Linked DNA regions of Ovis aries. The main gene of each other region encodes a partner of the protein of the gene in region 5 in a complex. Links are inferred from orthologs where the notes say so. Each region holds a gene or a part of one and is shown on either strand. Other genes may lie near its edges. The genes, in order: NUP160, NUP85, NUP214, NUP107, E3 SUMO-protein ligase RanBP2, NUP98 and XPO1.

What was found.
Region 1: E3 SUMO-protein ligase RanBP2 (region 5) and NUP160 share a complex: the UniProt entries of both Homo sapiens proteins name them as parts of the nuclear pore complex. The link is inferred for Ovis aries from reciprocal best matches to the Homo sapiens genes RANBP2 and NUP160.
Region 2: E3 SUMO-protein ligase RanBP2 (region 5) and NUP85 share a complex: the UniProt entries of both Homo sapiens proteins name them as parts of the nuclear pore complex. The link is inferred for Ovis aries from reciprocal best matches to the Homo sapiens genes RANBP2 and NUP85.
Region 3: E3 SUMO-protein ligase RanBP2 (region 5) and NUP214 share a complex: the UniProt entries of both Homo sapiens proteins name them as parts of the nuclear pore complex. The link is inferred for Ovis aries from reciprocal best matches to the Homo sapiens genes RANBP2 and NUP214.
Region 4: E3 SUMO-protein ligase RanBP2 (region 5) and NUP107 share a complex: the UniProt entries of both Homo sapiens proteins name them as parts of the nuclear pore complex. The link is inferred for Ovis aries from reciprocal best matches to the Homo sapiens genes RANBP2 and NUP107.
Region 6: E3 SUMO-protein ligase RanBP2 (region 5) and NUP98 share a complex: the UniProt entries of both Homo sapiens proteins name them as parts of the nuclear pore complex. The link is inferred for Ovis aries from reciprocal best matches to the Homo sapiens genes RANBP2 and NUP98.
Region 7: the proteins of E3 SUMO-protein ligase RanBP2 (region 5) and XPO1 are in contact, whole or in part, in a cryo-EM structure (PDB 9B62), measured with the Homo sapiens proteins. The link is inferred for Ovis aries from reciprocal best matches to the Homo sapiens genes RANBP2 and XPO1. Residues at the interface, in NP_006258.3 of Homo sapiens: Val2508, Val2509, Ser2510, Pro2511, Pro2512, Lys2513, Phe2514, Val2515, Phe2516, Gly2841, Phe2842, Gly2843, Ser2845, Thr2846, Gly2847, Leu2848, Ser2849, Phe2850, Ala2851, Leu2853, Ala2854, Asn2857, Ser2858, Gly2859, Asp2860, Phe2861, Ala2862, Phe2863, Gly2864, Ser2865; in NP_003391.1 of Homo sapiens: Trp60, Val63, Asp64, Leu83, Asn97, Gln98, Gly101, Ile102, Lys104, Tyr105, Val107, Gly108, Ile110, Ile111, Leu134, Phe149, Asp152, Ile153, Gly155, Ala156, Ser157, Arg158, Thr159, Ser160, Glu161, Leu163, Cys164, Asn167, Leu208, Phe211.

The regions. Positions count from the first base shown.
Region 1 is NC_056068.1:76,487,650-76,491,657, reverse strand, and holds part of NUP160 (nuclear pore complex protein Nup160), read left to right. Parts: intron 1-2,619; coding exon 2,620-2,830; intron 2,831-3,379; coding exon 3,380-3,602; intron 3,603-4,008. UniProt on the Homo sapiens protein: Functions as a component of the nuclear pore complex (NPC). Involved in poly(A)+ RNA transport.
Region 2 is NC_056064.1:55,591,215-55,595,222, forward strand, and holds part of NUP85 (nuclear pore complex protein Nup85), read right to left. Parts: intron 3,255-4,008; coding exon 3,120-3,254; intron 3,027-3,119; coding exon 2,904-3,026; intron 2,703-2,903; coding exon 2,571-2,702; intron 2,331-2,570; coding exon 2,224-2,330; intron 1-2,223. UniProt on the Homo sapiens protein: Essential component of the nuclear pore complex (NPC) that seems to be required for NPC assembly and maintenance. As part of the NPC Nup107-160 subcomplex plays a role in RNA export and in tethering NUP96/Nup98 and NUP153 to the nucleus.
Region 3 is NC_056056.1:5,536,981-5,540,988, reverse strand, and holds part of NUP214 (nuclear pore complex protein Nup214), read left to right. Parts: intron 1-795; coding exon 796-883; intron 884-3,008; coding exon 3,009-3,070; intron 3,071-4,008. UniProt on the Homo sapiens protein: Part of the nuclear pore complex. Has a critical role in nucleocytoplasmic transport.
Region 4 is NC_056056.1:151,262,098-151,266,105, reverse strand, and holds part of NUP107 (nuclear pore complex protein Nup107), read left to right. Parts: intron 1-268; coding exon 269-381; intron 382-950; coding exon 951-1,053; intron 1,054-1,640; coding exon 1,641-1,801; intron 1,802-2,414; coding exon 2,415-2,540; intron 2,541-2,919; coding exon 2,920-3,033; intron 3,034-4,008. UniProt on the Homo sapiens protein: Plays a role in the nuclear pore complex (NPC) assembly and/or maintenance. Required for the assembly of peripheral proteins into the NPC. May anchor NUP62 to the NPC. Involved in nephrogenesis.
Region 5 is NC_056056.1:62,092,671-62,096,515, reverse strand, and holds the end of E3 SUMO-protein ligase RanBP2, read right to left. Parts: intron 3,339-3,845; coding exon 3,193-3,338; intron 2,508-3,192; coding exon 2,234-2,507; intron 2,117-2,233; coding exon 1,791-2,116; intron 1,460-1,790; coding exon 1,154-1,459; 3' UTR 947-1,153; downstream 1-946. UniProt on the Homo sapiens protein: E3 SUMO-protein ligase which facilitates SUMO1 and SUMO2 conjugation by UBE2I. Involved in transport factor (Ran-GTP, karyopherin)-mediated protein import via the F-G repeat-containing domain which acts as a docking site for substrates.
Region 6 is NC_056068.1:50,026,741-50,031,535, reverse strand, and holds the start of NUP98 (nuclear pore complex protein Nup98-Nup96), read right to left. Parts: upstream 2,916-4,795; 5' UTR 2,753-2,915; intron 1-2,752. UniProt on the Homo sapiens protein: Plays a role in the nuclear pore complex (NPC) assembly and/or maintenance. NUP98 and NUP96 are involved in the bidirectional transport across the NPC. May anchor NUP153 and TPR to the NPC.
Region 7 is NC_056056.1:46,578,126-46,582,133, forward strand, and holds part of XPO1 (exportin-1), read left to right. Parts: intron 1-1,297; 5' UTR 1,298-1,303; coding exon 1,304-1,429; intron 1,430-4,008. UniProt on the Homo sapiens protein: Mediates the nuclear export of cellular proteins (cargos) bearing a leucine-rich nuclear export signal (NES) and of RNAs.

The DNA.
Region 1 (4,008 bases), on a different chromosome or scaffold from region 5:
GCTTAAGAGAGATAAAAATGTCTGACACTTGCAGGCTATTTCCTCCGTTTGGAGACCGCTGGCCTTCATGCCTGTTACCCTCTCAACATGTTGGTGACTCAGCTGTGGGAGTAGCTAGAAAAACAGAGATAGATGGATTCGAGATACACTTAGAGGGTAGCTTCATTAGGACCAGGTGATAGACTGACAATGGGATAAAGGATGGTAAGGGAAAAGGAGGGAGCAAGGACAAGTTCCCGTCTTTTGGTGTGACTGACCAGATATCCTGCAGAAGGATTGCCGTCTTCTGAGATGTAGAAGATGGGTTTTGGACGGGTGTTAAGTAGTTCTTTTAGCCGTGCTATTAAAGTGTCTGTGTAGTTGCATTTTGACAGTGTCAAGTAGGCATTGAAATTTATAGGTTCAGAAGAAAGACCTGTGTTAGAGGTGCAAATCTCATTGATTTCAGAAATATTTTTGAGTGCCTAATATGTTCCGACACCAGTGCTAAAGAATCTCCCTGCCAGTACAGAGGATACAAGAGATGTGAGTTCGATCCCTAGGTCAGGAAAATCCCCTAGAGGAGGGCATGGCAACCCACTGCAGTATTCTTGCCTGGAGAATCCCAGGGACAGAGGATCCTGGCAAGCTCTGTAGGGCTTTGGGTTGCAAAGAGTCAGACTGAAGTGACTTTGCAGACACACAATGTGTTCCAGTGAATGTTTAGGGACTGGGAACATAGCAGGGAATAAAGCAGACAGTCCTTGCTCTCAGCAGAAGCTGATCAATAACAGTAACCCCAAAAAACAGTAGTTCATCAGGTGATATGTGGAATGGAGAACAGGGAAGGGAGAAGGGGAATTATTATGTTTAATATTTCACATAGGGTAGTTGGGCAAGACCCAGTGATAAGTTAACATTTGAGCAGAGGAAATAAGGGTACCCAGGGGGTGAGATTTCAGGTAGAGTCTTTGAAGAAAAAGGGCAAAAATCCCGAGACAGGAGCTTGTGTGTTGTTTTCAAAGAATGGGAAAGGGCCAGAAGTCTGCCTCTTGAGAGAATGAAGGATGGAGGAATAAGGTAGCCAAGGGGCAGATTAGGGCTTTGTCAGTTATTTCAAGGCTGTGACTTTTACTTTAAGTGAGAGGAGGGTTTTAAGTGAAGAAGTATTATGAATAACAGTGTTTTTAAAAGGTGCTTGTCTGCTGTGTTGAGAACAGAGTGTAGTAGGAAGGGATGGGAGCAGGGAGGCCAATTAGAGGTTGGTGCCACAATCCACACAAACGATGGTGGCGGCTTACAATGAGTTTGGTATTGTTAGAGGCTGTGAGAAATCTTCTAATAGTGGATATGCTTTAAAACTATTTTGTTAGAATTTAGTGTTGGATCAGATGTAGGGTATATAGAAAGGAAAAATTCAAGGGTGAACCCCATGTTTTTGGCATGAGCAACTGGAAGTTACAGAGACGCCATCCATGAGTTGGGAAAGAAGTGGAGGTGAAGCAGATGTTTTCCTGGTTTGCTGGGTCCAGGAATTCTGTTTCGGACAGGTGTAGTTTGAGATCCCTGATGTACAAGTGCAAGTTTGAGGCAGTAGTTAGGAGGTGAGTGGAGAGTGTGGGCTGAAGAAGATACAGATTTAGAAATCATCGTCAGTCAAAGCTGTTAAACCAAAGGTGATCGCCCATAGCAGTGGTCCGCAAGCTTCTTGGCACCAAGGACCAGTTTCACAGAAGACAATTTTCCCACAGATCTGGGGTGGGGGGACTGGTTTCAGGACGATTCAGGCACATTACATCTGCGGTGACCTTGGTTATTGTGACATCAGCTCCACCTCAGATCATGAAGCGTTAGATCCTGTAGGTGGAAACCCGCTGACAGAGAGGAGAATCGGGTAGTGCAGTAGATGAGATCTGGTTAGGACACGGCCAGCATGGTGCTGTCTGTGGTTCTGAAGCTACCGCATAGCAGAGGTATACGTGAGCAGGAGTCTCTTCCTGCTTCCTAGCAGGAGGAAGCTTTAGAAGGGACTTATAAGATCACTGTAGTTTGATGGCTATAGTGATTATATGTAGAGGCCATGTTACACTATAAGTTGTGAGTGTGTGGTGTGAATTTTAATCCTAGTGGAGTTTAATTGAATTGACTATTGTTCTAAAGGTTTCCCAGGTGGTGCTAGTGGTAAAGAACCCGTCTGCCAATGGGGGAGATAAGATAGACCTGTGTTCAGTCCCTGGGTCGGGAAGATTCCCCCTGGAGCAGGGCATGGCAACCCACTCCAGTATTCTTGCCTGGAGAATCCCGTGGACAGAGGAGCCTGGAGGGCTGCAGTCCATAGGGTTACAAAGAGTCAGAACTAACTAAAGCGACTTAACACTTTGTTCTAAACATACTATCAAGTTTGGAAATGTCTCCATTTAACAGAGAATCATATAATAATAGTTGAATTGTATATAATGCTGTGTTTTGTAGACTATACAATGTGGTTTGGAATGTCAGAATTGATTTGAGTTTGCTTATCCAAAATTTTTGAATTAGAGTTCACCTGAAAACTATTGTCATACATTTCCATGCAACAATCAGAAAGAAAAGTGTAAACTCTTTTTTTTGTTGTTTTTTACAAATGTCTCTTTTTAATAGGAAAACCTCTGGAGATACATTGGAGCTGGTGGAAGAGTCACTGGACATAAATCTGTTGAATAATGCAGTTCGCCTCAAATTCCAAAACTGCGTCCTTCTACCCGGAGGAGTTCATGTCTCTGAGACTCAGAATCATGTGATGATCTTGATATTGACCAATCAGACCGTGCATAGATTGCTTTTACCACACCCTTCCCGGATGTATAGGAGTGTAAGTTGGTTAAGTATAATGTCCTTTATTTCTCAGATTACTTGGTCGCAAATTTAGTATTAGAGCAGTGTCCTTTGGAACTGAAGAAAGGATGGATTCCTGGCTAGCCCTAACCAAGCACACTTCCGTGCTGGCATTGTTGTTTAGTCGCTAAGTCATGATCGGCTCATTTGCGACCCTATGGAATATAGCCCGCCAGGCTCCTCTGTCCGTGGAATTGCCCAGGCTCTTCTGTCCATGGAATTACTGGAGCGGGTTGCCACTTCCACCTCCAGGGGATCTTCTCCACCCAGGGAACGACCCCACATCTCCTGAATTGCAGGCAGATTCTTTACCGAGGAACTGCTGGGGAAGCCTCATACTTTCCTAGTTACTATTTAAAATGATCAAATACATTCTAAGTTGCAAAAATAGTTTTATTAAAAAGAACAGCTTCTTTTTTCAACTCAACAATTTTTTACTTTAAAAACATTGATAGCAATTGGGAGGAACTGAGCAAAATTCATTTATTTTGTTTTTAACAGATTTTTCTTTTTCATTTCTCCACAGGAGTTGGCAATCGAAAGTCAGATGCAGTCAATATTCACTGACATTGGAAAAGTTGATTTTAGGGATCCTTGCAACTATCAGTTGATCCCGTCAGTGCCTGGCCTCTCCCCTGGTTCTGCCGCCTCAGCAGCCTGGCTGAGCAATGATGGGGAGGCTCTGTTTGCTCTGCCATCTGCCTCTGGGGGGATCTTTGTTCTTAAACTACCTCCTTATGACGTACCTGGTAAGAACGGGAATGCAACATGGATTTAATTTCAAACAGATACTGGCATTAAGACAGATGTTAGAAGTCCAGGGCCGTTATCCAGTGCAGGAACTGCTTCCAAACCATCCTAAATTCATTATTACTTTCCTAATGAGTCCCTAACACTTCACAGTTTTTCCCAAGAGGGTGGGATTTTATACGGTGAATGAGGAACTGCAGCTTACTGGAATATAGGAAAACAGGTGGCTATAAGGTGGCCTATTCTAAGGCCTTTAGTAGAGATGAGTTGCCTGATGTCTGTTTTCAGTTTGAGGTGCTGTGACTAAAATAAGTTTAACTGAAACAAGGAAGCTCAGTGCTGCTACCATGCTCCAAGTTACCACCTTCTCTTACCTGAACTATCGCGTTTGCTTCCTAATTATCT
Region 2 (4,008 bases), on a different chromosome or scaffold from region 5:
TGCTCTCAGGATATAAAAAGAGTAGGGATTGGTTTACACTGAATGACTGACTAAATGGGCTGTCTGCCCTGCCCTGGGGCTGCTGTCGTTCTGTGAAGTACATGCCAGGTCCCCTTTTCCTTTTGCTGGATGGCAAGAATTGGCAGCTGCAACCCACAAGAGAAGAAATCCAATTTTTCCTCCAGCTGTGGATATGCCAGGCAAACACGTGGTGGCCCTTCAGCAGAAGCTGGTAAACTGTGATCTCCCAGGGCCTCCCTGGGATTCCCTCATGGCTCAGATGGTAAAAGAGCCTGCCCACCATGCGGGCGGCGTGAGTTCAATCCCTGCGTCAGGAAGATCCCCTGGAGAAGGAAATGGCAACCCACTCCAGCATTCTTGCCTGGAAAATCCCATGGACTGAGGAGCCTGGAGGCTACATGCAGTCAATAGGATCACAAAGAGCTGGAGATGACTGAGTGACTACACTTTCAGGGTCTCTCTGCTCTGCCTCTGGAGCCCTGTCTGCCCCACAGCCTGGCATGGTTGACATGGCAGCATCAAGTACCCCTATAGAAAGCTTCCTTCTAGCTGAGGAAGGGTTCCCTCATTCTCCCTAAGAGGAGTGAACAGCTGACACCAGACCTGCAGCTCAAGGCTCCCCTACACCACCAGCGCCCCAGCGAGACAGAGGCGCTACTGTCCCCTGGGAAGCGAGCTGGGGCCTAACCACAACAACCCATGAGAAAGCTAGTGCTCAGGAGACCCCAGATCCCACCCTTCCTCGTCCAAGAGGGCACTCTCTCTCTGAGGATACTTCAGCCCTTCTTTCAATTAATGGGCAGAGGTCTGGGACCTGCTTTTCAGAGTACGGCAGGAAGAAGCTTACTGATCAGGAAAACCCGAGCTCCTAGATTCCGAGCTAGTGGAAATACCTCGATTTTTTTCCTGCCTGCCAGGGTAGACGGACACCCAGACTGAGGGGCTGCAAGTCTGATCATTCCTCCTTCAAGACTGGCAGGGGTGATGCATTTTTCAGCGGCGTTCATTAGCACCACGCCTCTTTGTTACACTTCTTTACCTTTTCCTTCTACAACCACTGAAAACAGCAAGGTGCTTTACCTTTTTTATTGTCCTTCCTTCCTCTTTAGCTCAAATCTGTCTTGATCCTAAAATCCCAGATGTGGCTTATGAAGGAAGCCCTCGAAGAAATAACCCACTGCCTGTAACAGACAACACATTCTGGAATGCCTATTGCTTTGAATTAGAGACAGAGATACTGACAAAGCTAAAGACTAGTGTCTGTGCCTCTGGGAGCCATCCCCACTGATCCTTCACTGCAGATACAACCCCTTGCCAAAATCAGCTGAATTCTGTTAAGTTATCTTCCAGTTCCAACCAGTCCCTATTTTAGAGGTTTGTGAAAAGAATATGGACACAAACCTTCCTTTCTCCAAGTCTAACACCATTTTCTGAATGGTGGGCCTTGGCTTTCTTTTAGCCAAACAGAAGAGCAGGTAGCATGGGTGGGGTGGGGGTGGGGGGTGGAATCGGGGAGACCTTCCCACTGCCCAGATTCACTAACAAAGAAAAGATCCAGTGTGGAGGTCAGTGAATTCAATGCCTGAGCAGGGCCACCTGCCCCAGTGGTTCCCAGCCTTCTCCCTCTGCACGAAGAGGGAGGGGAAGTTCTCTCTGACCGACTACATGTGGGGATTCTGGAAAGCTTTGCTTTGGATTCATTGTTTCACGCTCCCTTTCCTGCCTTGCTGAAGGTCTGGGGAGAGATCTGGGGAGAGGGCTGGTGTAGAGTCTCTGCTCTGAACAGACCCAGCCCCGTGTGGTGGCGTGGTAGCTCCTGGCTCACCAGAGAAGTGCTGTCCTGTAAGGTAGCTGCATGTCCATCAGGTTCCAAGAAACAAGCTGGCTGGCTATTTCTGGATTTTAAATACCATAGTAATTTCTTGCAATATTACTTTAAGTAAACATCCCTAAAGTGTAAACTGTTAAAGATACAGGAGCCTGCAAGCCTCAGGAAGGCCCCCAGGCTTGTCCAGAGAAGACACTGTCTACCTAATGTGGCGGGGGGTGCGGGTCTGTGGGAAGAAGCCTAAGACACCAACAGGAAGGAGCAGGACGCTCTGGAAAAGGACGGCGGTGATGGGCGTGTGACATGGTGAATGCACCAGCCGCTGCACTGCAGCCCTGAGGCGCCCAGCATGGTGGTGGTGCAGCGGGTCCTACCTGCACTCCTTGATCACTTGGTGGATGTCAAACTCGAACGCTGCCATCAAGATGTTGTCCAGGGGCTCTGGGCTGCTCTCACCTCCCAGAAACAGGTCAAGGCTGGACTGTGGAAAGGTGGTGACCCATTCAGTCCCTGGATGGTGGCAGAGACTCAAGGGGGCAGGCAGGGCTGCTGTGTAGGGGACCCGGGAGAAGGGCAATGGGGTCCTTCAAACTGGGCCCAAGGAAAGCCCCCTCTGTTCCCCAGGGAGGGTCAAGTCAACAAGGCCACACGGTGAAAGTGACTGGCAGGGAGTGGAGCCCCGGACGCCGACTCCCCTCCCCTCCTGGAGGAGCTGACGCACCTGAGCGTAGAGGTGCAGATCCATGGGCTTGACCGTAGGCTGAGAGTACAGCAGCCGGGTCACCAGGAAGTGATACCAGTTACTCAGAAGCTCCTTCTGCTCCAGCAGGGCGGCATCATCTCCCAGCAGGACCTGAGAAGAGACGCTGTCCCTTAACTCTGGGGACACTTCCCTGTAAGGCTCATCTCAGCTGGAGCAGCTGAGTTAAAAGCTCACTCCTTCCCAACAGGGCCCACACAGAGCCCCGTCTGAGGAGGAGCTGCTGCTGAGCTGGATGCCAGGACTCCAGGAGGAGCTGGCTTGGCCCCTGGCCAGGACCCGCTCCCAGCAGACCTTGCAGAGGGACTCGAGGTGGGGGTTGGAGGCGAACGTGCCGTCCTGGAGGTGCCGCTCGCATTCCTCGTGCCAGTGCTGCCACCTCAGCTCCAGCTCCGTCAGGGTCTGCGTGTTCCCAGGCTGTGGGAGAGACGCAGACAGGGGCGGTCACCACGGCAGCCCCTCACGCTCCCTGTATAAACCTCTCTCTGCGACCCAGGCGGCTCCACATACGCTGAGAACGGGCATGGTCCTCATCAGGTCCCCCAGGACTCGGCACATGCCTGCAGAGGTGGGGTTGGTGTCGGCTTCCTTGGAGAGCATCTGTCGGGCCTCGTCCAGCCGGCCCTGTAGCACCAAGGTGGTCACCTGGGAGGACACCAAGAACACAGCATCCAGGCGGAGGCTCAGCAGCCAGTCCCCTCAGCCTGCTTTGGCTTCCTCATCCTGGAGAAGTGTGATGGTTTCTCCGTCAGAGGTAATTTAATTCATCCAACCTTCTAGTTTCAACCCGTACCATGCTTTTCAAACTGCGTGTTGTTGTATCGCACTGCAGGTGACTGACTTTTTAAAAATGAAACAGAAAATAAAAATTACCAAAGTGCATCAAATAAAGCACTGATCTGTAAAAGTTTCAGTTAAAAGAAAAAGTTCTAGTTCAAATACTGGGTTAGCCAAATTTGGTTCAGGTTTTTGCATGCTATTTTATGGCCTGGGTTCAATTCCTGGTTGGGGAACTAAGATCCTGCTAGCCACGGCAAAAGAAAAGGAAGAAGAAGCAAGCCAAGGAAACACATGCTGCCCAGTCCCAGTCCCTTTCCCTGATTCCAAACACGCACATCCTGTTGCCAATGGCTCCACTTGGTTCACAGGCACCTTAACATGCCTCGAAATGAACACCGGGTCGCTTCCAACCCACCAACCCACATTCTTCTCTTTCTTACACATCCAATTCATTAGCGAATCCTATCACTGTACCTTTAAACTGCATCCAGAATCAAATCACTTCTTACCACCTCCTCCACTCAGCTCCTACCCGGGTCCAAGTTACCACCACAGCTGCCTGATTTAGGACCTGAGCCTCCAGGCTGGTCTCTCCGTTCTGCTTTTGCTCTATTCTCAG
Region 3 (4,008 bases), about 57 Mb from region 5:
AGTAAGGCTGCACTAGACATCCTTGTCCGCATCACGTTGTATTATAGTAGTGTTTTAGATAGTTTTGCAAATCTTTACTCCATACTCATGTAAACAGAAGATGCTTTTTCTTATTGTTTGGGTTGGTTTGATTTGGGCTTCTCGAGTGTAATTCCCCCAGCCCTCTTCTCCTTTTAGAAGGAGAGGGAGAGGTGGGGGGGAGAGTGTGGGTACTGCCCCAGCCTGTTAGTGAGCAGCCACAGTACACCACATGTGGGGAGACGACGGGCTACACTTTAACTCTCCACTCTTCTCTGTGTGACAGCAGTCGTGTTACCTCTGTAATAAAAAATAAAGAAGCAGACCTGTTATTAACTAATAGTAATACAAGAAGTCTCTGGAAAAACAGATGCGGCGAGAAAGCCAGCAGCCGTGAAGTCACTACTCAGAGATGTTTCACATGACCTGTTTCCCCTTGGAGTTTCTTTTCCTTTGACATGTATCACATTTCATTAATTGCAGAATCTACTTTTAAAGCCTTAAATTTGACCTGCACTCCAGTTACTTTGATGTCTTTCCTGGAAAGGGTAAAGTGGCATGCCTTGGTTTGAAATTGACAGTTGACAGGGCCAGAGAGCCCATTCAGAGACCTTGAGCACGACCGAGTCCTCACTCTCCCCTTGACTGCTGACCTACAGGAAGCACGTGACCTGGGGCTGCGCTTTGCGTGGCACTAAGCATTCAGTGCCACAGAGAATTAAACTAAAATGGTGTTGGTTTTTTTGTAATGCTCTTCTTTTTTTCCCATAATTCCAGGACCAGTGGCAACCAAGATAGAAACAGCTGTGACTTCTACCCCGTCTACTGTTGGGCAGTTCAGCAAGCCTTTCTCATTTTCATCAGGGTCAGTTGTAAACTTAAGTTTTGTGGCAGATCACAAAATCCTTATAGATTGCTTCTCCAAATCTTATAGTCAGCGGGTATACTTATATGAAGCCAGAGTTCTTATCTCCACAGTGACACATTTAATGATAGTGGGAGTAGCTTAGTGTCCTAATGTAAATCTGTTTGCCCTTTTCGATTCAGTTTTATATGTGTGTTCTTACTGGCTTGTTTGTTTTGTTGTTTAGGATAAGCCTTGTTTGGGTAGTGGGTCTGTGGTTGCTCTAGTTTATCACACCGAGATCTTTTCATTCTGACACCATCTGGCGGCTGGGTGAGACCTTGGATTGGCTTCGCTGCCCCGAGAGGTCACATTATACTAGACTGCTGAGCAATCAAGACAGTGGCCATTTAAGAATTGGGGTTTTATATAGATGTGGGGAAGTCCATTTCTGTTTCATTTTTTTTAAAGTGATGATGTCTGTACTTGTCAAATTGAGTTATTTTTAAAAACAAAAGGGTCTTCTAACCCTCAGTCCAAAGGAAGTTCTTATTAACGTTGGAGGGGGCATACCTTTTCACTATCCTGCGAACACTCATCATGAAACCTGTGAGAGTTGGCAGAGCATCTCTCTTCTTTGGGGTGGAGTTAGTCTCTGTGTGGCTGAGATAAATACTCATCCAAAGATTGTTTTCACTGTGAAGGGTTGCACATTCAGTTCCACTAGAAAAGTCTCTTAAGCTCTTCCAGTTTATGCTTTTGTAACTGGAATCACACTGACCACAGTCTCTTTTCCCTGCTGTGAGTTTGTTTCTTGAACACCCTTCAGCCTAACACATTACGAGAAAGGAGGGTGTTAGAATAGAATTTTAAGGGGGAAATCATATATATTTTCCTGTAAATCATTAGTTTTCTACTCCCCAAAGGTAGTTTGGAGCACAGTTTTAGAGAGTAGGTCAGTTCCAGGAGCTACCGCATCTGTTAATTAATCTTTACTTCTGTGAACCTGATACTCTTCTTCCCGTCTTTAAAATAACCTACAGAGGTTTGGGTCATAGGTCAGCTGCTTACCTCTGTTACATCAAATTTCTTCACCAGAGTTGAGACAAAGAAAGAGATTTGTTTTCTTTTTTTTAAGATGATAAAATATTTAACACATCTTAGGTGGTCTTGGACCATTTGATGAAGCCAGTGACGAGTTTAAAAAAAAACCCAACTCTACTCTTTACTGTTACTTACTCTTTTTGATATGCTCGGCTTTTTATCAGGTTGCCCAAAAAGTTCGTTTGGGGTTTTCCATAACATCTTACAGAAATGCCTAAATGAACTTTTTGACCAATCCAACAGTTTTTAATTTGCTATTTGAACTTTTCTCAGAATGAGTACTCCATTCTGGCTCAGCTGGTGCTGAGTTTTCTTCTTTGCTTATATTGTCTTCACTCACAGGGTGAAGAAAATGTACAGAAAGAGAGGAGAGGATGAAAAGAATCAGATAGGTTTTTGAGGGACTTTTCCTGGTGGCCTAGTGGTTAGGGTACAGCTACAGCGCTTTCATTTCTGTGGGCTGTGTGCAGTGCCTGGTCAGAGAAGTGAGATCCCACAAGCCACTTGGTGCAACCAAAATTTTTTTTTTAAAGTTTCTGAACCAAATTTCCCAGCCGAGGACTAAGCGTTTTGTCCGAACAGCAAAGACAGTGGCTTCCATTTCATACTGTCTGTTGTCTCCCCCAGTGGCATGCGCTGTCCTGACGTGCTCCCTGGGTGGGTCATAGGCTCCTCCTCACCTAGCCCATCCCGTCCGCCTCACTAGGCGAGCCAACCGCTCCAGCCACCATCCCAAGGCACAGTCCTAGTGCTCCTTCACTTTCCTTGAAATAGGTCCCCACCCCCTCTACCATGGGAAGCCTGGCTGTTCCTCCAAGGCCTCCTCACTGGCTGCTTCCCTCTCACCTCACCCACACATCGCTCCCCCCCACGCTCTGAGAGCTCTGCGCTGCTGCTTCAGAGGCAATGCGCTTGCTGATGTTTATCGATAGATTGCAAGTCCCTGAGAGTAGATTATGTGAATGGATTATAAATGTACTGTTAAAGGGCAGTGTTGCGCCTTAAGTCTGTTCGTTTTTAACTTCTTTTCTTCCACCCCTAGGACTGGCTTTAATTTTGGGATAGTCACACCAACACCGTCTTCTAACTTCACTGCCACACAAGGTACAGTCTCTGCATTGAGTCGCCTCACTTTCGTGTTTCCCTCTAAACAAGTGCAGGTTTGAGGGAGGCAGGTTGGTTGACATTTTACTTGCTGCTGCATTTTGCTTAAAGTATCTGCAGTGAACTTGGTGTTGATATTATGCATTAGAAATAGGCTGGATTTAAGAAACTGTGGGGAATGACTTTTGTCTTCATAGTTAAAAACTCAGAAAGGGTTTGCTTTTAGAAAGGCAAGGCTGTGCTTTAAATGTGAATGTTTACACGCAAATTAAAATTTCTTTCTCCATCTTTGTCATATGGTATTTAAAATTATATCAATTTTTAATAATCATAATATGTAGTGAAACTATATGTAACTTTGTTCTGTATTTTCCCAGTTTCCTGTAGAGTGTTATCATACTTTCATAATTTAAAAAAATTTTTTTTGTTTGTTTTGTTTTAAAAAAATTTTTTAAATGAAGTCAAAATTGTATCAATTTGTAGGTTGAGATAGGCAATGGTAAAGAATCCACCTGCCAAGGCAGGAAACGCAAGAGATGCTGGTTCAATCCTTGGGTTGGGAAGATCCCTTGGAGGAGGAAATGGCAACCCACTCCAGTATTCTTGCCTGGGAAATTCCATTGACAGAGCCTGGTGGGCTGCAGTCCACGGAGTCCGACAGGCCTGAGTGATTGAACACACACGCAGTACTGTAGAAAGGAAAGACTAAACTCGTGTTTCTTTCCTTGATAACCTATCGGGAGACACACTTGTCCCGCGCACGCTGGTGCAGATCTGCCAGCGTCTGTTGTTGTTTAGTCACTGAGTCAGGCCTGGCTCTTTTGCAGCCCCATGGACTGTAGCCCGCCAGACTCCTGCTGTCCATGGGGTTGTCTGGGAGTTGATTGCCATTTCCTTTTCTTGGGGATTTTCCCAACCCAGGGATTGAACCTGAGTCT
Region 4 (4,008 bases), about 89 Mb from region 5:
TTAGTAACATATATCCTTCTAGTTTTAAATCCTGTTTTTCTTGAGAGGAAAAGAAGGAATGACATTTTCAATGAAATTCTGTTTTGGAATGAAATAACTTATACTGTATATTGTGTAAAATATCTTTTAATTTTGGTATTTTCTTTTATAATTTCTTTCATATTTTAAAGAATTGTTATCCCAGATTTACTAAATCATTGTGATTATTTAAAGAATATTAGTGTGAATGAGTAATTTCTTGTTTCTGTCCCTTCAAAAAATGTTTTAGATTTGGATATTGCAGCTATAACAAAAACTGTAGTTGAGAATATTCGAAAGAAAGATGATGGTGAATTCAGTCATCATGACCTGTCCCCAGCCTTGGATACGGGTACTACCGAGGTAATATGAGGGTACAAGAGGTGTATTATGTGACTGAATAATCCCTCGTGTTATGCTTTTTCTAAATGTCTACTTTAAAATACTCTGGCTTCTTTATTTTTTAAAGAGTTTTTCTTTGTCAGCCAAGTTATAAAAATTGTCAGCAAACTTAAGTCTTGTGTAAGGAATTGCTTAGTAGTAGTTTTATGTTAAAGGAAGCTTCTTTAATAGTAAAAACCTGAGCATTGAATTTTTACTCATCTGATTATTCTAGATACTTGATCAGTTAACTAATTTTTATGTAGTTTAATTGTTCCTTATTTTCAGAAAAGAATAGAAAGTTTTATCTAGGAAAGAAAAGGTTGTAGAATAGCACTTAAAGGAATCAGATAATTAAATTGGTGGCACATCAGATATAGAGCTATTAAATGTGAAAATAAACCAAGAAAAGCTATTTTCTTTCATAATTTTGTGTAACCTGAAGGAAAATAATCATTAGTAGTACAGATGTAAGCCAGTTCTATTAATGTGTAGAATATCTTAGGGAAAAAGCACAATTGACATTTCTTTTTTTCCAATTAAATGAATAGGAAGACCGATTAAAAATTGATGTAATTGACTGGTTGGTATTCGACCCAGCACAGAGAGCAGAAGCACTAAAACAAGGCAATGCGATAATGAGGAAATTCTTGGGTATGCTCTATTTTATATTATTTTTACAAAGTTTTTTTTTTTCTGTTCTTAAATTTTGTTGTTTTTCTAACCCTTCCAGTAGGGTAAGGTACAAAATACCCACTTTTATGGCTGATATTGTGAAACAAAACATATTTAATAGTGACTTACTATGTCCCACTCAATTTTATATATAATCTCAAGGTTTTGAAAAATGGAATTTTTTTTTAAGACATAGTATGTGAAAGTAGCTGTGGGATTTCCTGGTGATCCAGTGTTTAAGACTCCGTGTTCCATTGCAGTGGATTTGGATTCAGTCCCTGGTTGGGGAAGTAAGATTTGGCATGCTATGCAGGGCAGCCAAAAATTGAAATATATAATGAAAACAAAAGTAACTACATTTAATTAATCCTTCATGTGACTGTCACACTGAAATAAGGAAAAGCCCAGCCATTAGGTAGAAAGATCCCCCAAACCTTTAAAAGAAGTACCTTGGGCCCTGAATGGTTACAGGCCACGGTGAAAGTTGTAGACTAATAATTTGACTCCTTTAGAAGCCACTACACAGAAATCCACGTATATTGAAAAACTATATGTCTTTTTCCCAGCCTCAAAAAAGCACGAAGCTGCAAAAGAAGTATTTGTGAAAATTCCTCAGGATTCAATAGCAGAAATCTATAACCAGTGGGAGGAACAAGGAATGGATAGCCCACTTCCTGCTGAAGATGATAACGCTATCCGAGAACATTTGTGCATCAGAGCTTACTTGGTGAGATTGTAGAGAAAACCACGAAGTGCCTGTCTTTATGATGACTTTCAAACCTGATTCACTCTCAAACCTTAAACTACTTTTTTGAAAAGTGGTGATTGACTTACTATCTTACCTCCCTTGTGACTGTGGGAATCACTGATCCCTAAAAACTTGGAAGTCCTGACCTTGTCTTCATGTGCAGGAGCCTCTAATCATTGTTAACCAACACACCATGTGTTTTCTTAAGATTCTTTGAATTCTTAACTTTAGCATTTCTGCTTTTGGCAACAACTGAAAAAAGCAAGATAATCTATATTATGACTAAAATAACAACATACTCATTCAGAATTCATTCAACAAATAATAAAGTGATTAGCTAGGTTTTAGGACTGAGTCTGAATTTCTTTGCTTCCCTCTGGAAGCTAATAGGTTCATCAAGGACACAGATAAGCACGTGAATATCACAAACAAAATACTTATTCACTGTAATTTTTTTGTATAAAAAAGAAATATTGAACAATTTTATTTCTTACTACTGCAAAATTCTAAGAACCAAATTTTTAAAAATTGTATTGAACATATGTGAAAAGTTTTCATTTTTTGTATTTTTCTATTTTACTTTACATTTTAGGAAGCCCATGAAACCTTTAATGAGTGGTTTAAGCATATGAATTCAGCTCCACAAAAACCTACTTTGACAACTCAAGCAACTTTTACTGAGAAAGTGGCTCATGAACACAAAGAAAAGAAATATGAGGTAAGTTAAATGTAGATGAGACATGTCTCATTGCATCTCAGAAATACAAGTCATATATGTAAGATCATTTCTTCAACAGTTATATTCCCATTATAAGAGTTGATCTTCCTTATTACTGTTATACTTTGAAGAAAGAAATCTGTTTAGTTACCTTTTTGTAGATAATTAACCAAACATGAAACGTACCTTCAAGTGACAATAATGTTCATTTACATGGTAAACATTTTAGTGTTTTATTGAACTGCAGTCTGTTGATGTTTATTTTGTATTTGGCTTACTGAATGTCAGTTCTTTAGAATGATGTTCCATATATGTACATCTCTGTACTTTGCAAATATATTATAGTCCACTATATATCTGCCTTATATCTGTTTTCCAGATGGATTATGGTATTTGGAAAGGGCATTTGGATGCCCTAACTGCTGATGTGAAGGAAAAAATGTACAATGTCTTGTTGTTTGTTGATGGAGGGTGGATGGTGGATGTTAGAGAGGTAAGCTCTGTGCATTGTTACAAGCTACATCTTTTTTTTTTAAGTTTTTTCTCTGAATAGGAGCAGTTACAGATCTTGTATTACCTTTGTACTATATTATAACTGAACATCCCATAATTTAAGTCTAACCTGGAATACTAGTTAGGGAATATATGAATGTCTGACTCCTGGGTAAACTATTTCTCCACATTTAATATGTTCAGTCAGTATAGTATAGTAAAATCTAATTTTTAAAAATTCTGGACCAAAAATCAATTATTCATGTATTCAACTCAGTCTGTAGAGGTGAAGATAAGTCTAGTAGAGTGAGTAAGACATACATAAAGCAGGGACTCTCACCTCTGAACTGCCCATTTAAATGACCTGGAGAACTTTTTAAAAAATACTGGGTTGATTCCCCTAGTGGCTAGCAGTGGGGAGAGGGAAGGAGGAGCAACATAGGGGTTGTGGGGTGGGAGGTACAAATCACTGGGTGTAAAGTAGGCTATGAGGACATATTGTACAACATGGGGAGTAAAGCCAGTATTTTGTAATAGCTAAATGGATTATAACCTTTAAAGGTTGTATTAAAACAAAACAAAAAAACCTTTTAATGAGTCCCCAAAAGATATGACAATTAAATACAATATGTGATTCTAAACTGGATCCTGTGTTGGAGAAAAAAAGATGCTATAAAGGACAGTGTTGAGTCATTGATGTTGGTATTATATCACTGTTAAATTTTCTGAAGTCATTAACTGCAGTGTGACTATATTAGGAAAAAAAATCCCTTTGTTAGGAAATAAACTCTGAAACATTCAGAGGTAATGGAACATGATTATGCAACTTGCCCTCAAAGGGTTTAAAAAAAAAAAAGTTTAAATTACCTGGAAAGCGTTAATGTGTAGCCTGGGTTGAGAGTCAGTTACAGAAGTACTAAATGCCAAAAAAAAAAAAAAAGCACAGATGCAGTATTTTCTGACTTCAGAGAAAGCA
Region 5 (3,845 bases):
ACGGGGGCTGAGACGTGACGTGCACAACGTGCTCGGGGGACTCCGAGGTCCTACACTGAGCAGGCTGACGAAAATGTGCCCCCCGTTGTCCAGCTTTTTCCATCAGCCATTTCCAAGTAGGTGTTCAGTATATACCCGACTTGAAAACAGTCCTTTCCTTGGGAGCTCTGGAAATTAGGTGGCAGTCTGAGTTTACAGATATTTAATTATTCTTACTTTGGTTCCAGAATGAACAAACAATTAAGATGCACAAGTAATGAATTTTTTAAATATCATGGCTGTTAACAATTGTCACTTTATTTTTGCTACAAAATTCACCAGAAAAAGGTACTGCAACAATCTAGTATAAAGCAAATCTTTAACCAAAGAACATGGTATAGACCTGTTTAAAATACTCATACTTTATCACAATAACTGCAAGGAAAAATTCAAGTTCTATCAGAACCAATGCAGTTTGAGGTAGTAGAAACAGATGACAGAAAGGTTTTTTAAACAATAATTACTCAACTTAAAATGTAAAAATTAATTTAATACCTTTGAAAGGGCGCAGGAAGCTACGTATTTTAAGGAAAGAAGGTACTCTGCTTAAAAGAGAATTTAACTATACAGGAGGTGCAAGAATTTATAGAAGAGCACTTTGGTTAAGTCTCTGCCCTCTGTGGCTCTACCCATTTACAAGTGAATCTGTTCATAACTGAACACACCAATAGTTAAAATTACCAAATATAGTCCAAATCTGAAATAAAAATTATCCAAGTCATGGTCCCTTTATTCAAACAGTAAGTATATCCATGCAGGAAGTCTAATATCTTAAAAGGAACTAAAATTAAATTGCATATATCATATTCTTTCAATAGTTTGAGAAGGTCTATTGCTTTTAACAAGATTAGTATTCCATTTTAATACAAATATGTCAGGAGTACATAAACACAAGTACACCTGAAAATACACCAGTGTTTAAACTTTTATTTCACACCATGCAAGGTCAATTATAACACATTAGAAAGTGACAACAGCTATAAGCTGCAATTTTACATTTGTACATTGGAGTCCATTTTCAAAAGCTGAACATAATTAATTACCATGTTGTCAAAACAGCTAGGCCTCAATTCAACTTTTATACAGGTAAAATTTACTATGGAAAACAATGATTTTATATCTGTCCACATTCTGTGATAATAATTCTTCGACTAACAGACCCTTTAGGAGAACCAAATGACTCAATCTTTTTCACAGTATCCATACCATCTTTAACAAACCCAAATACTACATGCTTAAAGTCCAAACAGTCTGCTTTTTTCAGTGTTATGAAAAACTGAGAATTATTGGTGTCCTGGCCTCGATTGGCCATTGATAGTAAACCAGGAACTGTATGTTTCACATTAAAATTTTCATCTTCAAATTTATCTCCATAAATGGACCGTCCTCCTGTTCCATCATGTTTTGTGATATCTCCCCCCTGAAAAAAAGATTTCAATTAACAGGAATCACAAATAAAACATTAAAACACATACAGAACTAACCACTGAAGGGGTGGTCCTAAATACCCAGCTTCTCTGAGAATGCAGTTTGAAAAAACTAAGAAATTTGTGAAAGGAAACAAAAATGAAAAGATCTTTTCCCACCCTTAATTTCTATCAGGTTCAAGGCATTAGAAATATGAACGCTTTTAGGCTGCAAGTTCTTGTGGGGATAGAAGCTGGGGGTGTGGGAAAGCTATAGTCTACAATTACAGGTAAGGAGAAACACTCAGATTTCCCACACTGGTGTGATGCACACTTAAGACTTACTTGGCAAACAAAATCTGGAATCACTCTGTGGAATATGGAGCTCTTGAAACCAAAGCCCTTCTCTCCAGTGCACAGTGCTCTGAAGTTCTCAGCAGTTTTAGGAACAATGTTTGAAAATAATTCCATGGTTATGCGTCCCAGGGGCTCATCATCTGCACAAATGTCAAAAAACACCACAGGATTTGTCTCCTTTGAGAACTCTGATGTCAGTGATTTCTGGGGTTTCAATAAATTCTGTTGACATTCTTCAAATTTTTTCTTGAAACAATCAGCCATTTCTTTAGTTTTAAATCTCACTGCAAGCTGTTCCACTTTGGCTTCTCCATCTGTTAAACAACACAATGGCCTTAGTGTTAAAATAACTTAAAAAAAATTGTTTTATATATTTGTTGTCAATTTAGAAAAGTAAAAAACTGGAAAGTAGCATTGAGTGCAGAGCTCACCAGCATAATCTGAGGCAGTCCAAACTAAAGCATTGTTGGAAACATTCAAGGGTTTCAGTTCCATCGTCTTGGTGATGACATGGTTCGCACACACTTTGAACACCTGGTCTCTCCTCATCAGAATCCGAAAGTAATTCTTCACCGTGTGCCAGAGGATCTTCATGTCTCCAACGCCACGCTCTTTCCACTGACTGGCCTCTCGATCCCACCTGTAAAGTTTGGCTCTCTCTTTAAATAAAATTTCTTCATCTTCTTCTCCAGATTTTACTTCTACCTGTGACAGGAGATGAAATTACCTATAAGCTGCTGCTTATAAAATACTCATAACAAATTCCAAAGATCCAAATTCCTTAACACACTGACATGAACAGAATTTGAAAAGAGTTAACATCCTAGGGTTACTATACGGCAGATTCGGATGAGGCAGGAAAGATTTGTCATTAAATGTTTTCTTTGTACTTATTAACATCCTTCCTCTTTTTGGAAATCAAATACAATCTTTTACAGGAGAGAAGAGGTTAAAAAAAAAAAAATCTTGTTCTTCAAGAAAAATACTATCTGCTGACTAAGGTTCAAACTGATGAAAGTAATTTGCCTAAAATAACATTCCTGTCTAGAGAAAGTACAATATACTTTTTATTGAAAGGACTGTGGCAAATATCAGCTTAGATGGGTTTTTAATATTTTGCTCCTTCAATTATGTTATTGAAAACAAACAGGAAAAAATTAAGTTCTTCCCAACAATTTCACACAGAATTTTCCAAATAACATTTGTATGTAAATTTTTTTACAAGGATGATTTACATTTTAAGATTGAACTTGTAATAAAGAGCTTCCATTTGTAATGGTCAATGTTCTGAAAGAAATGCAAACAAGGTCAGCCCTACAAATCAAGCCCATGTCAAGTTTTAAACTTAAAATGTGAAGTTAGTATAAGGTTTTTACACTTTAATATTTACCTCTGGTAGTGACACTATTGGTTCAAAATGGATATCTTCATTATGAACTACCTCTTCATCACTACCATCTTCATCTTCGCCAACTTTACCAGTTGACTGTGCTCCAAACACTGCTGCTCCAGTATTTGCCCACTGGAAATTTTTATCTGATGAATAAATTAGGATATTTAAACAGTGATATCTATTTTAATAAGCTTTTAATCCCTGTTACAGTACTTTATGAATGAATCTAATTTCCAATGATGTGACATACTTCTAATAAAAATGCTTAAAACTGCATTCTCCTGGCAAGTTAAGCTCAAGTGGTGAGCACAAAGGAATGTAGTAACATTTACGCCTGGGTATACAGACAGGGTTGTATAAGCCTTAGGTCTTAGTGACACTGAACTTTTAGTAATAAAGCAGGTTCTTCATTCAAAGTGCATCCTTTGAAACCTGAAAACACAACACAGCTCCAAGGGTAGTTTATTTCATAAAACATTCTATTACATGAAAAAAGTAACTTTAGAGCCTAAGAATGTTCTCCAAGAGGCCAAATCTGCTACTTTGAAAGCAGACTGATTACAAGTTGGTAACTTCTCCACCTTAGCTCTCTTCTAAGGTAAATGGAATGAGAGCTTCAACTTCTTGCCCAGGTGGCACTGGTGGCCCCA
Region 6 (4,795 bases), on a different chromosome or scaffold from region 5:
TTTGGAGTCTGCAATGGTTCTTAAAAATATAAAGGAGTCCCAAGACCAGCCCTCTTCTAATCCTCTGACTTCAGTTTCACATCTTTCCACTCACCCTACTGCCTCCCAGCTTCACTCTTAGGACCAGATATAGCATCGCATTTAATTGTATCAATTCAAGTACAAGCTCTTTTGCCTTTTTCCACAAAAAAATGAAATAAATATTGCTCTATTTATCCAATGACCTATCCCCTTTCAAACAGGACTCTAATTTCTCCTATCCCAGAGAAAGGGAGGCTGTGACAGACATGGAAGGAGAAAATAAAGAAAGCAACTCTAGTACTCTTTTTAGCTCCCCATCCCAGATTTTGACAATTTAAGGGTTTTCAAGGATATCTCAACCAAATGCAACTTATTAGCTGACTCCACAAACATAGACAAAGTATGATAAACGTAAGATTTTTTATTGAAATATTGGGAACGTTCTCTGTAGAGCACCAATCTCACTGAGGGGCAGTTTTGCCTCTCAAGTAACATTTGAAAATGTTTGAAGACATTCTTGAATGTTAAATCTTGGAGAGAGGGTGTTATGAGTATCTAATGGGTAAAATACAATACATAAATGAAAAATACTTAGGTTCAATTCTAAACACACAGAATGTGCCAAATTCTCAAGAAACATTGTTTATATACTTTGTCTCTAATACTTATTGTTAAATCACTAAATTTCTTATTCCCTTAAGCTTTGAAAAGATTGCATAATTACAGATGTGATCTTTATTTACTGGAAATTTAACATCAGTATTACTACCCCTTACCTCCTAAGGTTACTTGCTACTATAAAAGTATCAAAGGAAGTAACATTTCCAAGCTATGAATCTGGTTCCCTAAAAGTTGTGCTTGTTATTAGCTGTCTAGGAGCAAATGGACATGAACAGTCAGGTATCAAAGTACAACATAACACACAAATGGTATGGGTCCTCTTATCTGGGCCTGATATTTCAGGAGTGCACAAATACCTAGCCTCTTTATAGACTACTTTTAGGCTTAACTCCTCCAATTTGTTTATCCATCCAGACAAGCATACTTACTGAGGGCCTACTATGTGAAAAGCAAACTGAATACAAGACAAAAAACTTTTTACCAGTCTAATAAAAAGACACAGCTGAAATACAAAATGACTGGTGTCATAAACTGAAGTATCAAATAAGTGTTATAGAAGGCTGCAGGGGAAAGAATGCCGGGGGAGGCTTCCCAGAAGAGAAAATGGCACAGAAAACACACCCTGTTCACCTCTTAGTATTATAAGACTACAGCTTCTGCTCTTATACACTACATTTCTCAATTTTTGCTTCATCATCAAAACAAGAGGAAAGTGATGAGTCAAAAAATAAATTTATCAAAAGTACTTCCCAGGACCTCCTTCTTGTCCAACTTCTGGTTTGTTTTCTATATATCCAAACTTCAACAAGTTCCAAACACGCCATCTAACAAGTGTTTCTTTCTTTCTGAATTTATAAGACTATCACAGGGAATGATCACTGCTCTCTTCTTTCTTCCCTAGCTTCTTCTCCCAAAATAGTTTAATTTTCTCACCTTATTCTATGTTTTCGAATTCGGTAAGAGAGGAGTTGAGTCCCAAGATACAAGAAGTGCCAAATGACTGCTAGTGTATCTTTCTAAGTCTTGTCTTTATTTCCTGTTTTCTATTTCAACTCTACTGTAGCTCACTAACTGGACCCTTTCTTCTGAATCCTCAGTAGCCGACACAAATAAAAATTTCAGACCTACATCAGGAAACTAGCCACTAATATGTAGCCTTATCAGTTCATTCCCAATACATGATACCCCTGATGTTCTTCAACTTTTGAGTTTAGTTCTCATGGTCTAGGCTAGCGTTCCACTAAGGAAGCGTTTGCCTTACGGTGAACTGGGCGGGTAGCAACCAAATCGGAAACGATATTGAAAACTAGGTTTCTGCTTCCAACTACTCAATGTCACCATCTTGACCCCTCCACTTTTCTAAAGGGAATCCTCAGTAATGGGGGGCTAGAACGCCCAGGGAGGGCAGTATAGTAGAAAAATTTCTGGCACTTTCTAGTACTGTTTTTCCTCTGGGCCTCAGCTTCTCCACCTATGAAACTTGCACGTGACATGGGGTAGGGGAATTGACTTAATTTCCAAGGTCCTTAAGGCTAAAGTAAGTAATCCAGAAACCTCACCCTGTTTCTCGTCTAGCTTTATGTGGGACACGTGGGAGAACAAAAAGTAAGGTTTCACTCCATTAAATGACCTTAATTCTCAGATACAGTTTTAATAAGCTCACAAACTCCAGACCCACTCACCCTCCCCAGGGGTTGCAAATTTCCCCTTGGAGAAGCCAAAGCAAACAAAGCCCAATCCCGCAGATGATCAGGGAAGTGCTGAGGAAACCGTCCCTCAGGTTCTCAAGGCGCTGCCCCCGCAAAGGGCCTGCCCACCTAATCACTGACGGGCAAATGAATGAGTACAACCTGCTAGAGAAACGCTCACTCAAGGGAGGCTTCAACGCGAGACCCCCGGGCCCAGAACCCACAGAGAGCGATCCCTCCTCAAAGCCTGAAGGGTCAGGCCTCGGGGCCCGAGACCCGCCCCCTCCCTCAGGACAGAAGGTGCGCGCTAGGGCGCGAGACTCGGCGCGGAGAGGGCCTGGGACGCCCCGCGCACCCGCCCTCCCAAAGTGGAGGAGGAGCCTGCCGGTCTCCGGCCTCCACCACCCTGGCTCCCGACTTACCGCGGTGCTGGGGGCGGGGGAGAAGTGTCAGGAGTGAAGGCCTAGGCCGGACCACCACCCGCCGCTCAGAGAGCAGCGCGCGGCCGCCACGAAACCGTCGCCGCCGCCGCCACCACCGATACCGACCGCCGCTCCGGGCGCTGCGCGTAGAGGGCCCGACTGCGTCACACGCCGCCCGCCGTCAGAGGCTCGCTGCGAGCGCTCCGCCCTCGCAGTCTGCGCATTGGCAGACGCCGCCGCCACTCTACAGCCGCCCTGTTAGTCATTGGACCACGGGTCTTTTGAAACCGAACGTGAGGGCTGTCTTTGGGAGACTAGGAGAGGGGGGAAGAGGCGGGACCGAAGGAATTAGGGGGAGGAAAGGGGAGGGGCGGTAAGGAGGGACATGGAGTGCCGCCCCTCGTCGCCGCGGTTGGCTGGGAGGGAGTAGTGACGTCACACAGGGCCCCTCGAAGTGGGCTGGTGAGTGGCTACATCGGGAGGGGGGTGGGATAAGGGTGATGACGCTATGCCGAGGCTCCGCCCCTTCTCTGGAGCGGAGACACCCAGACTGCTGAGACTCGGGCCAATCAGAGTGAAGCTCCAGAATGGCATGGTAACTGTTCTACCCTTCCTTTGCCTCAGTCCGCGGGTGGTCATGGGAAAGTGCTCCTGTCGTCCGGCCCTCATTTCCTGCCCAGACCACGTGCGGAGCTGGAGGGCCCGCCTAGGTCTATCTAAGTAGCTCGCCTGCAGCTGCTCCAAGGCCCCCAAACCTGGCCTTCTTGCCTCCTGACCCATGCCAGCCCAACATAACCTCTCCCTCTCTGAATCCATAGCATAGGCATTGGGAGTGTTAGTGATGCCCTAAGGGAATGGCTCAGCTTAAAGTTTGGTACAAATAACAATTATTGGGACTTTTTTCCCACCTGCACTTTAGGAACCCCTAAAGTTCTAATTGAAATGATCCCGCCTCCTCTGGGATACCTTTGTGGATCAGTCTGTCCCAGCGAGTTGGGGTGATGCTTGGGCAAGCCTCTGTTACAGCTTTGTTTCTTTGTATTCTGTTACTTACTGTCTTATCTTCAGGGCGGGGCTCTTGGAAGTTAAAGCTTTATTTTCAAATTGGTGTTCCTTCCTCTTGTGTTCCCTGGTGGCTCAGAGGATAAAGCATCTGCCCGCCATACAGGAGGCTCGGGTTTGATCCCTGGGTTGGGAAGATCCCCTGGAGAAGGAAATGGCAACCCATCCCAGTATTTTTGCCTGGAGAATCCCCGTGGACAGAGGATCCGGGCGGGCTACAGTCCACGGGGTCACAAAGAGTCGGACACAACTGAGCGAGTTCACTTTTCCTTTCCCCCCAGGGTCTAGTCCAGAGCAGGAGACAGATTATCTCAAAGGGGTGAGTTGAACATGTTCTGGAAACTAGATCTAGTGACTAAGTGGAAAGTGAAAGTGAAAGTCGCTCAGTCTGACTCTTTGCGACCGCATGGACTATACAGTCTATAGAATTATCCAGGCCAGAATATTGGAGTGGGTAGCCTTTCCCCTCTCCAGGGGATCTTTCCAACCCAGGGATCAAACCCAGGTCTCCCGCATTGCAGGCGGACTCTACCAGCTGAGCCACAAGGGAAGCCCCAAGTGACTAAGGGTTCCACACAAAATAGCAGATACTGTGCTCAGAAAGCAGAACCTATTAGGATTACCACTGCACCGCCCCCTCCTCCTGGGACATTAATACAAGATTGAAATGAGCTCTACCCAAAACATGGATAAAGCTAAATTATGGGTTTTCAGTGGTGGGATTAGAGATACTTAAAAAGTGGAGTGGTTGTGAAGATAAGATAATGGGTGGGAGAAACCTAGTACATTGTAGTTGTTCAGTAGATGCTTGAAGGAAGAAAAAAGTAAATATATGGATGATCAAATAGTAAAGCTAAATTTCTGACTCCAGACACCTTCCCCTAACTCCTCCATGAAAGTATTACTCCTTTCCCTCCACCCTCCCTTGCCTGTGCTCAGCATCAGAAAGTCATTAAGTCTCCCTGGAGGGTTACAGCAACT
Region 7 (4,008 bases), about 16 Mb from region 5:
AAAATACCTAAGAAATAAGCCTTTTTCCTAACAAGCTAGTTTGTTCAGATCCAGTGTAATCCGGTTAGCCACCCTATTTCCTGGTCTTGGAAGGTTAAAAAGAGGGGGAGAAGTAGAGACGACCATATGACCTTGTTGGGTCTAAGTATTGTAAACCAGGAGTGCTTAACCCAAGGTTTCATGTGTGGCTTTCGGAATATCCTGAATAGTCTGTCTGTAATTGTATATGAAGTTGTGAATTTTTTTTAAATTGGCAAGAGCCATCCTGTTCGTTTGATGTGAGGCATCTTGACCCAAAAAAGGTTGAGTACTGATTTAGCCAGACTTAAGCATCACTTGACTTTGAAGAAAAGTAAAGGGAAAGATTTTTTATAATGTTGGACAATAAAAATGTGTACATGTGCCAGCCCCTTGGAGTAGAATCCTCTTAAAAGGATACCACTGCATGTGAACCAGTAGATTTCAGCCAGTACATTATTTGATGTGAAGAAGCTCCTTTTTCTGTTATGGTAGAATTTGATTTTTTTTTGCAGGGTGTGTTGTCGGAATAGTTAGCAAGCTTTTTGCTTTGCTAACGAATACCTGGAAATTTTTCTAAAAAAATCTTTAGATATTACTATGAAGTTTTTTTTTTTCTAGACCATATATGTTCAAGGAGCTTGTACACTTGTAATTTAAACTCCCGCATTTATTCAAAGAAGAAACAATATAGATGGTTTCATTGTATGTAGAAGTAAATTCTATATAAGTTAAGAGTATGAGATTGGTTAGACTTGTAGTTCCTGCAAATCATTGCTATATATAGGAAAACTTTGATACCACATTTAGTTTTTAGTGTCTTAGATATGTTTTTAAAATTAAAGTAGCATGAAATAAGGGAAAGTGAACTTTTACTGAGCTGAAAGAACCTGCTTAGGAAGAGGGGGACATCCATATGAACTTTATCTCCATTTGAAAAGTTGAGATCAGGACTTTGAACTGTATCATGTTTTAGGGCCGTAAATCCTTTAATAATTTTTTAAAACGGGTTAAGATAACTTTATATGCATGTTAGTAGAAAGAACAGTAAGATTTTTCTCAGGTCTAAAAATAAAGTAGATCCTAATAATCAGTGTAGTTATGGAGTACCTAAGTAGCTTCAGGATTTGCTTTTACTATCTCAGTTGTTTAGGTAAAAATCTCCAAAATACAAAAGTAAAGTATTTGTAAGAACATGGTGAAAGGGAAATAACTAGAGTAAAAACTTTCTGACTGATAATGTCATAGGCGCCTTAAAATTTTTTTTCTTTATTTTCAGTAATCTATGCCAGCAATTATGACAATGTTAGCAGACCATGCAGCTCGTCAGCTGCTCGATTTCAGCCAAAAACTGGATATCAACCTTTTAGACAATGTGGTGAATTGCTTATACCATGGAGAAGGAGCCCAGGTAAAGTAGCTGACCAAAATATTATTGCAGCGTAATAGTTGCCGGGTTTAGAATAAAACTTGAAATTACCACCATTTAAAGGAGTGTTCCATAGTTTGTATTAAGTTGGAATTAATATATATTAACTCTGAGAGGTGGTCTGTAAAAATAAATCACATTATATTTTCAAACGGTTTAGAGTGAAACGTTTTGGAATATTCTTGTTCTGTCCTTCAGCAACCTTTATCCCATTTACTGAAAGATCCTAATGTATTAAATATTTTGTAGATATTAAAAGTTGTATGTCCCCTATATATTGGAATTAATAGAGTCTTCTATTTTGAAACATTTAAATTGTAGAAGTACTTCACAGATAAAACTTATTTTAGAAATCCAACAATACCAAGTGTCTGAATTTTAGCACATGTAAAAGTGCTACTGTTAAAGTAGGAGATTGTCTTAACATACAATGTTTTGATAAGTTTAAGGCATTGAGGTTTTTTTTTCCTAAACAGAAGTGTTTGTAAATTTCAACTTTTATATGTTACAAGAAACAACAATCTTGAGTCTTCACCTTGTGGACTTAATAATGTAAAGTTCTAAATGAGTAAAAGTTTTTGCTTTGGGCTTAAAAAGATCTTTTAAAGTGATGTCACAGATATCTTACTAGTACAATTTTGTTGCCAGAAAGTACATTTCTGGGAGATAGTGTATCTTTAAGATACTGAGTTATATTGAATATTTGCCTAATTAAACCCTGGCTACTTTCATAATTTTTAGAAACCTCTAAAAGGTGGACATAGAAGATAGTCTAAAAAACATGGTACATAAATATTAGCAAGTATATAAGTATTTCTGTTCCCTTCTGAAATCTAACATTGAGGACCATGTAAGTTGTATGAGTGCAAAAAATAACTCTTCAGTGATTTTGTAAGCTTGTTAGTGCAGTTTTACACTCCTAGGGACTTTTGATCAAAAGCATTCTGAAAAGTATCTGTATTTACTACACTTACCATGTAGTAGTTGTTTCCTGATGATTATATGTTCAACATGAAGTTTTAAGCTCCATTTCATCCCAACATGATGTATGCAAAACAGCTGCTTTGGGAAGAAAGTATGAAAGTAAGATTGAAATGCATGAAGTGAGGGGTATGTGGCTCAGTGGTAGAGAATCTGCCTGCCAATGCAGGAAACAGGTTCCATCCCAGGGTCAGAAAGATCCCCTGGAGAAGGAAATGGCAACCCACTCCAGTATTCTTGCTCTTGAAATCCCATGGACATGGGAGCCTGGCAGGGCTACAGTCTATGGGGTCACATGTTTAGTGACTGAACAACAACAACAAGGTTGGGTTCAACTTTGTATTAGAAGCACAAGTCTGTAAGCCACTAGGAAGATTGATGTTCAATTTTATCACATTATTAAGCTACCACTGCTGTCTAGTCTTTGTTCTTTTTTAACCTGGTTCACAGTGTCTAAAAGTATGATGACTAAAAAGACCAGGGCTCTACGCTTATAATTGGAATAGTGGTTATGAAGAGTAGGGTGTAATACTACTATTAGTAATGTTTCATAGTGTTGAGATATAGTGATTTTGTTTTAAATTTGATTTCTGAATAGAGAGTAGATTTAGAAAAGTTTTTACAAATATTTTCACATTTATAAAAGCAAAATTAACTTTCTCAAAAGTAAAAATTTTATGTTTAGTTAGATCTCTCATAGGACAAATCAGTTGTATAAAGATAATCAGTAAGTTGATACTTGTTATAGATTAGGAAACAGGCTTAGAGCCTAAAGGCGGCTAAGAACCCCTTTTCTGTTGGGGTATCTTTAAACTTCCTTGTTCAGTCGGTTTTTTATATACCGCCTCTTTGAGGGTTTTTATTTTGGATAAAAAGTTTGGAAAGCATTGTTTTAATGTTAGATGTCTTAATTTTATTCCAGTAAGGTTTCTGGTCATTCCTCTGGAGTCTCATCCACAAAGTGTTCCCTACCTTGGAGGAGACTGGAGGGTTAGTGATGAGGTTTTGTAAAGCACTTGTTACCAGTGACTGCTACTTTAAGGGTACTTTTGAAAGTATAGTAAAGAAGACATGTGATGTAAATGCACATGTATGTGATGTAAACTCATTGTTTTAATATATGGTTTGGTGGGGAGTGTTTGGTTTTGGTTTGTCATAAAATATGTACTTAAAATAGCAACTAGAAATTATGCTAATTAAGCTTTCAAACTCAACTTTATGTAGCCTAACTTTTTAGAAATGATAACATAACTTTGGAGAGAAATTATTAGAAGAATGTAGGTAGAACTTTTGCTTAGATGGGTAGTATAGTAAAATTTTAGCACTGTAATATTAGGACTACCTTCTGTTATAAACATTTTTAGCCAAGTAGGCCGCCAGGAGAAAAAAACATGATAGAGTTCGGTGTTTTCTTCAATACTGTGTTAAGTGTCTTGAACTCTTTTATCTATTGCTTAGCAACTAAAATACTTTGACCATTCAGTTAGTAGCACAGGGAGATGCCAGATTTTCCCTTTGGTTTCCTTTTGTGTCTTTTAACCCCTCCTGGGCTTTTAAGTTAAGAAAAGAATATGTTATAT